Linked DNA regions of Oryctolagus cuniculus. The protein of the gene in region 1 purifies or fractionates together with the protein of each later gene. This does not show direct contact. Links are inferred from orthologs where the notes say so. Each region holds a gene or a part of one and is shown in the gene's direction. Other genes may lie near its edges.

The links. The genes of interacting proteins can lie anywhere in the genome.
Region 2: the proteins of CD9 (region 1) and IGSF8 purify together in Homo sapiens (affinity purification with mass spectrometry; 5 studies listed by BioGRID and IntAct, counting the BioPlex papers as one, with this or other methods). This does not show direct contact. The link is inferred for Oryctolagus cuniculus from reciprocal best matches to the Homo sapiens genes CD9 and IGSF8.
Region 3: the proteins of CD9 (region 1) and ITGB1 purify together in Homo sapiens (co-immunoprecipitation; 5 studies listed by BioGRID and IntAct, with this or other methods). This does not show direct contact. The link is inferred for Oryctolagus cuniculus from reciprocal best matches to the Homo sapiens genes CD9 and ITGB1.

What each region holds. Positions count from the first base shown.
Region 1 is NC_091440.1:103,253,411-103,256,920, reverse strand, and holds part of CD9 (CD9 antigen), read left to right. Parts: intron 1-3,315; coding exon 3,316-3,421; intron 3,422-3,510. UniProt on the Homo sapiens protein: Integral membrane protein associated with integrins, which regulates different processes, such as sperm-egg fusion, platelet activation and aggregation, and cell adhesion.
Region 2 is NC_091438.1:38,823,883-38,828,102, forward strand, and holds the start of IGSF8 (immunoglobulin superfamily member 8), read left to right. Parts: upstream 1-1,419; 5' UTR 1,420-1,433; coding exon 1,434-1,710; intron 1,711-4,220. UniProt on the Homo sapiens protein: Member of the immunoglobulin superfamily (IgSF) that links tetraspanin-enriched microdomains to the actin cytoskeleton and plays several important roles in innate and adaptive immunity.
Region 3 is NC_091444.1:108,893,675-108,897,683, forward strand, and holds the start of ITGB1 (integrin beta-1), read left to right. Parts: upstream 1-1,208; 5' UTR 1,209-1,417; intron 1,418-1,834; exon of another isoform or gene 1,835-1,996; intron 1,997-4,009.

The sequences.
Region 1 (3,510 bases):
GTGCACCTCTGCTTAGTCCTTTGGATGGGATGGGGGTGGGGCAGGAGCTTCCCTCCGTAGGGGGATGGGATGAGCTGAGGGAAAATCTTTGATTGGCGCCAAGCCCAGAACAGAAGGCTCCCTGAGGAGCACCGCTAGGCATTGTCTCCAAAACCAAGACAAGAGGAAGAGGGTTCAGGGCTAACCCCAGTGGAGACCAGCCTGAGGACCCCGGCCTTGGGGGCTGCAGCCTAGCTTTCAGGTCATACACGCTGGGATCCAGCAGCCTGAGCCTTCCAGCCCCCAGGGGTGGGAAGGGATCACTTCCTGCCATAGGGGAGCAAGGTCAGATCCTGCCTTCCGCAGTGGCAAGACCCTCTCAGTGTGCACGTGGGGCTGAGCCACACCCAGGTTTTTAGCCCGGGCTGCTCCCAGCTGGGCGCAAGCACTCCCCCGCTCTGAGAGTGGTGCTCATGGGAACTCGGAGAACCCAGAGTCTGAATGAGGGCATCTGGGCTGGGTCCAGCGTGGGAAAGACTCCTCCTTCTTCCCCATGGATTAGGCCAGGAGACCTCATCATGTCTCACTGATAAGAAATCCTGGCCCCCGTGTGTCACTGAACCCAAAGCTCTCAGACTCTCCTCCTCCTCTTCCTCTTCCTCTTCCTCTTTCATTTATTTTTGAGAGAGAGAGAGTGCTCCCACCCACTGGTTTACTCCCCAGATGCACACAACAACTAGAACTGGACCAGGTTCCCAGTCCGGTCTTCATGTGGGCAGCAGGGACCCAACTCCTTAAGCCATCACCAACTGCCTCCTGGGGTCTGCATTAGCAGGAAGCTGGAATCAGGAGCAGAGCTGGGACTCTAACCAGACACTTTGATATGGGATGCAAGCATCTTTTTTTTTTTTAATATTGATTTATTTGAAAGGCAGTTGGGGGTGGGGTGGCAGGGAGAGAGAGAGAGAGAGCTCTATCTTCCATCCATCCACTGGTTTACTCCCCAAATGGCCCCAATGACCAGGGCTTGACCATGCTGAAGCCTGGACCCTGGAACTCCCATCTGAGTCTCCCACATGGGTGGCAGGGGCCCAAGCACTTGGGTCATCTTTGGCTGCTTTCCCAGGCATTAGCAGGGAGCTGGATCAGTAATGGAGCCGCCGGGACTCCAGCCCTTGCCCATGCGTGGTGCCGGTGTTGTAGGAGGTGGCATAAACTGCCATACCATAACGCCGGCCGGGGATGCAGGCATCTTAACTGCTCGGCCAAATAGCTGCCCCTCAGGTGCATTTTCACCGTAAAATTCCCACCCCTTCAAGCCTGACATTGTGCACTGTTCTCTTCGGCCTACAGCTGCCAGGCACTTGGCCTTGTGTGGTTCTAAGTGATGCTGGACATTGCCTTCTGTAACACAGGGACCAAGAGGTCTGGGAAGGGGCTGAGTGTGCAGAGGGCCATGGGGCCATGCTCTTGACTTTCACGCTGCTCGGGTTATGTTGTTCTCCTAAGGCCCATTGGCACCACCTCCGTTGAAGGCAGTCTCCTTCATTAGTTAGCTGCAGGCCAAGAGGAAGACAGGGCCCCATCCTGCCACTCCAGGTGGGAAAACACTCAGCCAGCAATTGTAGGCCACTCTATGGAAATGCCCCTGTGATGGGGACAAATCAGCCTGCACCACTGGAGGTGCAGGCAAGGCTGTGGCCACCCAGGAGTTGGGGGTGGGGGGCTCTACTTCCTCTCTCCACCCAGCACATCTCACCCACTGCCACTCGGTGAGGAACAGGAGAGGAGGAAAGAGGGCCTGTGCACACCACGGATGTTGCCAGCTCCTGGGGCAGAGAATCAAGGTCCCTGGAGAGCTGGGCTCTGCATAAGAGCCCCTCTGTTTGCGGGTGGAGGGGGGTCAGCAAATCTTGGAAACCAGGCGCTGGCCCGGAGCCCGCCCACTCATTCGTGCAGCCGGTCACTTCGCTGGAGGCCTGTGAGTCACTCCCCCGGCAAGCCCTGGTACGGGCGACAATGGGAGCTGGCGCTGGGGTGGGGCTTGGCAGGAGGCCGCCTCCTTGGCCTGTTCAGCGGTGCAGGCTGGGATTCAGCCTTGTGAGAGGGGCAGTGAGGGGAGGCCCTGGTGTGTCGTTTGCTAAGCAGTGCGGTCTCCAAGGCCAGGTGTCTGTGCCAGTGGTTCCATAGTGGAGTACCCACATTGCTACCTGGCCCTGTTCTCAACTCCAGCTGCCTGCTAACGCAGATGGGAGGCGGTGGTGACAGCTCGAGTGATTGGGCTCCCACCACTCCCAGGGAGGCCTGAATCCTGGTTGCAGCCCAAGCCAGGGGCCGCTGCAGGCCTTTGAGGAATGATGGAAACTCGCTCACCTTCTCTGTCTCTGCCTCTTAAATAAATAACTAGTTTAAAAAAAAAAAAAAAACAATGGGAGCACTACCAGCACCCTAGATATGCCCCTTGCCACTACCTCCTCTTCCCCGAGTGCTTGTCCCTCCGTCTACCCAGAAGTCACCACTGAGTTTGTGGTCATCATTTTCTCTGGTTTCCGTTATCATTTGCATGCACATATTTGCATACGTATGTATATGTGCAGCCCTGCACAGAACACTGATTTTGGACTGTGTTCTCCTGGCTCTTGCTTCTTTGTGTAACTTTGAGAGATGCTCTCATAATGTTGCATGTGGCTGTAGTTACTCATTGTCACTGCTGTATTTTTTTTTTTTTATCTAAAGCTTTTCCTTGTTTTCATTTATTTATTTACTTGAAAGGTAGAGTTACAGAGAGGCAGGGATATATAGAGAAAAGTCTTCCATCCACTGGTTCCCTCTCCAAATGGCAATAACAGCCGGGACTGGGCCAGACCGAAGCCAGGAGTGAAGAGCTTCTTCTGGTCTCCCACATGGGTGCAAAGGCCCAAGCACATGGGCTGTTTTCCACTGCTTTCCCAGGTGCATTAGCAGGGAGCTGGATGGGAAGTGGAGCAGCCAGGGATCGAACCAGTACCCATGTGGGATGCTGTCATTGCAGACAGCGGCTCAACCAACCCGCTACTCCACAGCTCGACACCTGTGTAGTATTCTATTACCCGTCAGATAGTCACTCTGTTGCTATATTGCTAATAGGTGCTTGTTTCTTGCCAGCGCACAGACACTTAGAGAAACTGGGTTGATCACACACATACATACACTCCACACCGACTCCTGCTGCTGCCAGGTCCTTGTGAGGAACAGAGACTGAGAAATCCCCAAATCCTTGGCAAGCCTGAAGCCTCCCCTCCTGCATCCAGGTAGCTGGTGCTCAGAACTAACGCCTGTGTCCCGTGTATCTTGCAGCTTGCCGGCATTGCCGTCCTCGCCATTGGGCTATGGCTCCGATTCGACTCTCAGACCAAGAGCATCTTCGAGCAAGATAAGAATAACAACTCTAGCTTCTACACAGGTGAGACAGAGGGCGGGGGCACTTGGTGCTTCCTCGACTTTGGAGTTTCCGTGCCGACCCTGGCACGTGGGCTTGGGAAAGACTTCTGC
Region 2 (4,220 bases), on another chromosome or scaffold:
TCAAACTCCCTGCTGGTGGCCTGGAGGGCAGTGGAAAAAGGCCTTAGTGCTTGGGCCCCTGCACCCACACGGGAGACCCGGAAGAAGCTCCTGGCTCCTGGCTTTAGATCAGCCCAGCTCTGGCCATTATGGCCATTTGGGGAATGAACCAGCAAATGGAAGACCTGTCTTTCCCTCTCTCTGTCTGTAACTCTACTTCTCAAATAAATAAATAAATCTTTAAAAGCTCCCTTATGCGTCTAGGGATGGACTTGATGCAATGAGTCTGCAGGTTCCAGGCTGTGGATATATGGATAAACAGACGCCCTGCTGGCCTGCCTCTGGGCCCACACTGGGAGGTGACGGCCTCTAGGTGCCCTCCAGGCTCCCAAGCTCTGCTTCCTCCAGGGGTCCTGAGTGAGACTGCAACTGGCCAATCCATGATCACCTGCTCTGAATTGGGCACTGTGCCAGGCTCTGGAAGGGTCTGGTCTGGCCCCTGCCGCTTCCGCTCTCTGGGCCCCGGCTTCCTTCTCTGTAATGGGGGAGGTGAGAACTCAGAAAGGACAAGTAGGGGCTGAAGGGCGCCAGGTGCGAGGTGAGCCCTAGGGTCCCCTCCCATTGGCAGCCACTTTGGCCCGCCTGGCTGTTCCCTCTCTCCCTCCCCCTTGCCGCCCCTCCCACGGCCCCCTTCTCCAGGGCAGAGCACCTAGGAACCAGTTGCTCCTCCTCACCCCCCCCCCCAGGCCCTACCCTTCCCAGCTCCTCCCACTGGACACAAAACCCCAGGTCTGAACTAAGGAAACGGTTTTAATAATAACTGAAAAAACAAAACAACGTCCCCACGCCAGTTCCTCGTTCGTGTAGGTTACCCTGGGCCAAAACTCCAGCGTCAGTCCTCACGGTTACCCGGGGGGGGGGGAGGGGGGAGGATGCCGGCGGACGTGATAGAACTCAGTTCTGTCTGCAAGGGAGAAAACTGAGGCTGAGGGAGGTTAAGCAGCGGCACCAGGAAGCAATGGCTTCCGGATGACGCACCCTCCTAACCCATTCTTTCATTTCGCTCTCTGTGGGGGGTGGGGGTGTGGGGAGGTGGTACGGGTCTCCCGGGGCCCTGAACGGGGTTTCAGCCCAAAGCCCCCCCCCCCCCCCCCCCGCGTCCCGGAACTCCGGGGTCCTGCTACCCCTTCTGCAGGGTTTGCTGCGAAGACCAGTGGCCCAGAGCAAGTGACTGGATTTTAAACACGTGGCCACCACCCCAGGGCTCCTGTATCCAGCCCTCCGGGAAAGGCTAGCAGGTGCAGGGCGGGGGTGAGCTCGTTGCGAGGGTAGATAGGGATGAGCCCAGGGCCGGGGCGGGGCCTGGGGCGGGGCCAAGACTGGAGTCTGGCGGGGCGGGACTGTGACTGGGCGGGGCCGGGAACCGCGGCGGGGCGGGACGAGGCGGGACGGGAATGGTCCCTGGGGCCGCCGAGGGCGGGAGTAAAAGCAGCGGGAGGAGGCAGAGAGGAGGGGGGACCCAGCAGCTCCCGCTCGGCGCCGGGCCGCTCCGTATACCCACGCCTCGCTGCTCCGCTTCTTGCTCCCCACCCGGGCATGCGCCCCCCGCGGCCCCGGCCCCGCAGAGTCCGCGCCGCCCCCCGGAGACTCCTCAGATCCGGCTGCGCACGATGGGCGCCCTCCGCCCCACGCCGCCGCCGCGGTTGCTGCAGTTGCTGCTGCTAACGCTGGGTAAGCCCGGCCCCCGCCCCGGCCCCGCTGTCTCCCCCGCCTTTCTGAACTCCTCGCAGCCCCCTTCTGCCTCAAGGGTGTCTCCAGCCTCCCCGGGCTCGGCGCCCCGCTGCTCTAGGTGAGAGCGGTATGGCCGAGTCTGTATGGGGAGAGGCAGGGCTCCCCAGCTCCAGGCCTGGGAACTGGGGCACCCCGGATCTCAGGGAGGCAGCCCCGCTTCTCAGCCCGCATATTTAGATCCTGGGGTCGCCGCAAACGAAGTGCTGCAGGTCCCTTCTGCCCCCCACTCAGTCCCAGGCCTGGCCTTGGGTGTCTGCCCTGCGTGGGCAGTGCCTGCCCGTCTTCGTAATTGCATCAGAGTTGGCTAGAGGCCCAGGAGCCGCTTCTGCCCACAATCTTTGAAGTTGCTGTTCCCTAATTGCCCCCCATACACTTTATCTGAGGTTGGGGGCGGTTTCTACTCTCAGCCCCATCTCCACCCTGGGCCGGGTCCCTCCTTGCCGGTCTTCAGCGCTCCCGGATGGCACTGTGCCCTGCGACCCCCACTGGTCGGCACACCCCTTGAGTGACTGCTTCCCTGCCTCATGAGACGCTAAGCTCCATGGAGACTGATTCTGCGAGCTCCAAGCAACTTGTCCACAGTCTGGGTGTTTATGGGGGCCGTCTGGGGCCGGCCTTGCATGGATGCTCCAGGGTAGTGACAGTGGGATTGGTTGAGGCCTGGAGCGGAGATTCTCTGTTGGAGGTGTGTGGGCAAGAGTGTGGTGGGGAGACAGTACAGCTGCCTGCGTGGCTGCCCAGAAGACCCAAGGCCTGGGAACAGGAGCGCCATGGGTGGGGGAGTTAGAGGAGCCGATTGCAGAGGAGCAGGGTGCAGGGGGAGAGGGTGGTGGCTTGAGAGCTGGGGTAGTCAACGCAGAAGCCCCAGCCACCGCCTGTTTCCAGATAGTGCAGTCTTCCCTTGCCTCACCGCCCTGTGCCCACGGGGCTAGGAGGAGGCCTTTCTTTGGGTCCCTGGCCGGGAAGCAGATGGGTGTAGAGCGAGGAAGGAGCTGGGGGACCTGGTTGCCTAGCACTTGGCTCCTTCTCCCCAGTGGAAAGCATGGGGCAGTGAGGAGCCCAGGGGAGGTGGAGGTGGGGAGGGGGGATGCACAGAGAGGATCTGAGGGCTCACCTGCAGTGAGTGCTGGAGCCAGGATGTGAACCCAGATCCAGTCACCAGGGAGGGGGCTGGCTGGGGAGAGGAGCTGTGTGACAGCTCATTTCCCAAGGCTGGGAGGGTGACTTTCCCATGGGGATCTCCAGGCATCAGCAGCTGTGGAGCCAGGGAGGGCTGAGGGGCCCTTCTGAGCAGAGTCTGCCTCGAGGGAGTAGGCAGGAGTGGGGTGGGGTGGGGGGGAGGTGTCAGCCTGGCTGTCTGGCCTTCATGCTGATTGTATGTGCCCCAAGCGAGGTGCTCCTGAGTCACAGATTCAGGGTGGAAACTGAGACCTGGGAGAGGAAGGGACTGGTCCTGGGCCAGACTTCTGGACCTGGGGCTGCAACCTGACATCCGGACTCCAGGCCTGTGTCCTGCGCCAGCTGACCACGAGTTCTCCCCGTGACAGCCAGAGGAAGAAGGAAGGGGCTGAGAGCATGGCCGTGGGGTAGGGAAGACGAGAGGGCCTTTTGTAGAGGAGCCGGAGGGCTCCCGGACCACGGAGTGCTGGGTATTTCCCTTCAGCCACTGCACAGTGGCACGCCTGGAAGTGACTGATGAGGGCAGTCCCCTCGACCTCGCCTTGGAGTTCCCTCATCTTCCCCCTGGATTGCCCCTCTGCAGGGGTGTGTGGGAGTCATGGGGGTGGGGGGCTGAGGCAGCCCTTCTTACATCCCAGGGTTCTCTGAGCTTATCTAATGGAGGCCATGGAAGGACAGGGGAAGAGAAGGAAGACGCCGAGCCCTCCAGTGCTGCCAGGAGTATATGCTGGGGTGCAGTTGGGCGTGAGGGTAGGGGTAGAATGAAGAAGAGAGGCTTGGTCTCTCCCAGGAGGAATAGAGAGGAGCAGCTGGGAGCTTAGTGCCTCCCTACAGAAAGACAGCCGTAGGTAAATAAGTACAGGCCATATGCAAATAAAAGCTTTTGTTAGGGAGCTGGTGGGGGGCCTTGGGCATCAGCTGGGGTAGCCTAAAGGTTGGCACTGGGGGAGGGGCTTCTGCCCCCTTGCTGGCCTGGGCAGAGCCTGGTTCTTACCCCAGAAGTCCCAGGAGAAGCAGTGAGCTCATGGCACAGCTGGAGGCGGGGGGGGGGGGGGGGAGGGCATTGTGTGACTGGGGCCGTGCCCTGTCCAGCTTGGGCCACTGGCTCCATTGTCTGGCCCAGGTGACGCAGCTGAGCCAGTCAGCTCTTCTGCGCAAGATTCGGCCAGCTCCCCTCCAAGTGGGCTCAGAATCCCTTAGTCAGAAGGCTCTCCTGGCCAGGTCCGGAAGAAGTGGGGTGGAGGGATAGGGTGCAGATAAGGAGGACAGGT
Region 3 (4,009 bases), on another chromosome or scaffold:
TTTTTTTTTGATTTGTGATCTTATTGTGTGATTTGTGATCTGCCTACATGCCCTAAGTGCCTAGGTTCTAGTCTCAGCTCTGTTTCTGATTCCAGCTTTCTACTAATGAGCATTATTTTTTGGGGGGGCAGCAGGTGACAACTCATGTAGCTGGGTCCCTGCCACCCACATGAGAGGCCCAGATAGAGTTCCTGACTCCTGGCTTCTGCCTGCTATAGCCCTGGCTGCTGCAGCATTTGAGGATGGAAGATCATTATCTGTTTCTGTCTCAATGTCTTTCAGTAAATGAAACAGATAAAAAAAATGTAAAAAATGATCTGGTATGGATGGTGTCAGTCTGTGGCCAACCCCAGGAAAATCTGGTCTTGTGTCGTCTGTCTGAACGTCTCACCCTTTCACTCTCACAGATGCAGGCATCCATTCTGAGTCGCAGGTGTTCTTTTTTTTTTTTTTTTAAACAATTTATTTATTTATTTGAATAGCAGAGTTACAGAGAGGCAGAAGGGGGGGGAGAGAAAGACACACACACACACACACACACATATACATATATCTTCCATCTGCTGGTTCACTCCCCACATGGCTGCAACAGCTGGAGCTGGGCAGATCCGAAGCCAGGAGCCAGGAGCTTCCTCCAGGTCTCCCATGCGGGTGCAGGGGCCTAAGGACTTGGGCCATCTTCTACTGCTTCCCCAGGCCATAGCAGAGAGCTGGATTGGAAGTGGAGCAGTGGCCACATGGGATGCCGGCACTGCAGGTGGGGGCTTTACCTGCTACATCACAGTGCTGCCCCGAGTCTCAGGAGTTCTCAACCATCAGAAGGCAGAGGGCTCTCACCCCAGCAGGTCTCCCACAATCACGTGATAAAAGACAACCCGTGGGACCCAAGTGTTTGAGGAAAGGCAAGTGCATCTGACTAAGGCAGCATGGTGCCTTTCACTGAGGTAAGCCTTCTTCTAATGGCAGAGACCGAGATCACACAGACCCTTGTGGGCGAGCAACTGAGAGCGGCAGGTGACCAAAGGCTCTTCTGGAGAGCAGGTACTAGCAGGGTCGGGAACTGCAGTAAGGGTCAGGAGGAGGGTCTACCACCGGGCAGACGAGAACACTGCCCGGGAGCTGGGGTGGCGAAGCCCGCACGGGTGCTGAGTTCAAGACCTGCGACGTGGCTCGCACGCCTCCTCAGCAGCACGGGCGGCCCTGCCCTCCCCCTGGTGTTTGTGTGAGCCGCTTCTCTACAGAACACTCCGCTTCCCCCTTCTCGCTGCCCTCCCACGCCGCTCCAGCCTGGGCCCACAGGAGCCCTGCACCGTAACTTATCCAGCGTTATCCAGAATTCCAGCACCCGCTCTGTGTGCCGGCAGAGCTGCACCCCAGGGAAGGAACCCTGCGGCCTGGCGGCGCGAACCGAGCGCAGGTGAATCCCGCGGGGGCCCTCGCGCGCGGGGAGTTCACCGCCCCCTTCAGGGTCACGGGGTCATTAACGCCGGTCCCCAGCGGTCGCCGTGCGCGGGACCACGGAGCTCGTGGGTCAGAGAGCCCCAGGGACCCTGTGCAACCCCCAACGCCCCGGGCGGGCTCCTCTTACACCGGATCAGAGCGGCGGCCGAGACACCGGCGCGCGGGACCCGCAGGCGCGGGAGACGGGGCTGAGGCACCGCGGCCCCCGGCCGGCCGCCCCGCGCGCGCCCGGCCCCGCGCGGCCCCGCCCGGCCGAGCCCTTTGTCCGGGCGCCTCCCGAGGCGCGGCCGTCAGGAATGCGCTTCCGGAGCGAGGGGCGCGCGCCCGGCCCGCGGGGCGGGGCCGCGGAGGGGCTTCCGGCCGGGAGGCGGCGCGGGGCGGCCGAGACCCCGCCCGGTGGCCCGGAGGAGGTGGAGGAGGAGGAGGAGGAGCCGCCGCCCGCCGCGCCCGGAGCCGGGAGAGGCCGCGCCGAGCCGCGGGGACGCCGAGCAGCAGGCCCAGCCTAAGGCGCAGGCCCGGACGCCGCCTGGGGAAGGTGAGGCCTGCGGCGCGCGGCGCAGCGCGCCCGGCGGCGCCCGGCCCGTCCTCGCGGCCCTTCCCGGCCGGCGTCCCCTCTGCCTGGGAGGCCGGCGTGGCTGCCGCGCGGGGCCGGCCGTTTCCGGCAGCGCTGGGTCAGCGCCCGCGTCCGGGGAGAGCTAGGCCTCCCAGGGGTCCTCGCTCAGGGCCCGGCCGGCCGCTGTGCTGGTCACCGGGCGCTTGTCCTGCGGCAGCAGCGCCGAGCCGGGCCACAGCGCCCGAGAGCGGGCAGCAGCTGGACTCGGGGTCCAGCGCCTTCGGCCCCGGGCGTCTGGGAGGAGTCCCGGTTCTCTGCCCCTGGGGGCGGGGAGCCGGGAGGAGTTGGGGGGCCAGGACCCGTCGCCCTCGGGAGTCGGGAGAAGTCGGGGGGCCGAGCCCTTTGCTGTCGGACCCCGGGAGCGGGGTGGACCCCTGGGAGCCTGGAGGAGTCGCCGGGGCCAGGGCCCGCCACGCTGTGCCCGCAGGAACCGGGAGGAGTGGCCGGGATCCCCGGGAGCGGGAGGAGCCGCCGCGGCGCCGGGGTGCGGGGCGGAGGCCGCGGGCGTGAGGACCCCGGTCTGGGCACTGGGCGAGGGCCGGGCCGCTCCGCCGCGGGCGTGAGGACCCCGGTCTGGGCACTGGGCGAGGGCCGGGCCGCTCCGCCGCGGGCGTGAGGACCCCCGTCTGGGCGTGAGGACCCCGGTCTGGGCGTGAGGACCCCCGGTCTGGGCGCTCGGCGAGGGCCGGGCCGCTCCACCGCGGGCGTGAGGACCCCGGTCTGGGCGCTGGGCGAGGGCCGGGCCGCTCCGCCGCGGGCGTGAGGACCCCCGTCTGGGCGCTCGGCGAGGGCCGAGCCGCTCCGCCGCGGGCGTGAGGACCCCCGTCTGGCCGCTCCGCCGCGGGCGTGAGAACCCCGGTCTGGGCTTGAGGACCCCGGTCTGGGCGCTGGGCGAGGGCCGGGCCGCTCCGCCGCGCGCCGGTGCTCGTGCCGCCCGGGAGCGCGCGCGGTTCGCCCGGTGCTGGCTCTTGATCTCGAGTCGCGACCCCCGCTCCGCGCTGCTGGTTCCTCTGAAGTGGAACAAAGGCGCCCGCGCCAATACGATAACGGATTCTGGTTATCTCGCCCGGTTCTGCGACAGGGCGGGGAGCCGTGGGTCCTGTTTTCACCTCCCGTTTTACGGAGGCGAAGACCCCAGGGTCCACGGACCTCCGTCCTGAGCCCGTGGCCGCCGGGACGCTGACGTGAGCACTTGCCGGCTGCTCAGCCCTCCTGGGCGGTCAAGTCTGACATCCCAGTGTGGTTGGCTACGTAGATGTCTCTGGGTCAGCAGTCCGCATAGATATTTAGGTGCATAGAATCGTAGGTTGTCGGTTATTTTTTTGTTGTTTGGTGGTTTTTATAATGCTCATATTTTTAAGTAATTTTGCTTCATTACTCAATACTAAATGCATGATTTGGGATGGTAAGTAATAAATAGGAAAGAAATGAAGCATTGATGTTTTGGTATACACATTTGGGATGAAAGCTATTTTACTTCGCCAAAAATTGAGTATAAAAGGGGAAGATGTTATTAAAATGCTAGTTTAAAAGATAGGGAATGTGGTTAATACCTTACTGTGTAGACAGAGCAAATAAACTCCTAGCCTAATTTGGCTTCACAGATCGACAATTTTAAGTGTTTGTGATGTGGACTTTCTTTTGTTTAAGAATGTAAAGTTGTATTTTAAGGTTATTTTTTAATCTCAAAGACTAACTGCTTTGTATATATGCTACCAAAACGAGCAACAAAGTATAACCACGTGGAAAAGTCCTTAGCTTGAGTAATTTTAACACTCGGGCCTTCTAGTAGTGTAGTTTGAGTCCACCACAGGTCACCATCATTGAATGGAAATGCCTACTTGGTGTTGAATTCCTAACTGCAGGAGTTGCACGCACTGGGGACCTTTTATCTTCATGAAAAGCAGTCCGTTTAATGTCCTGCAAGTTTTCACA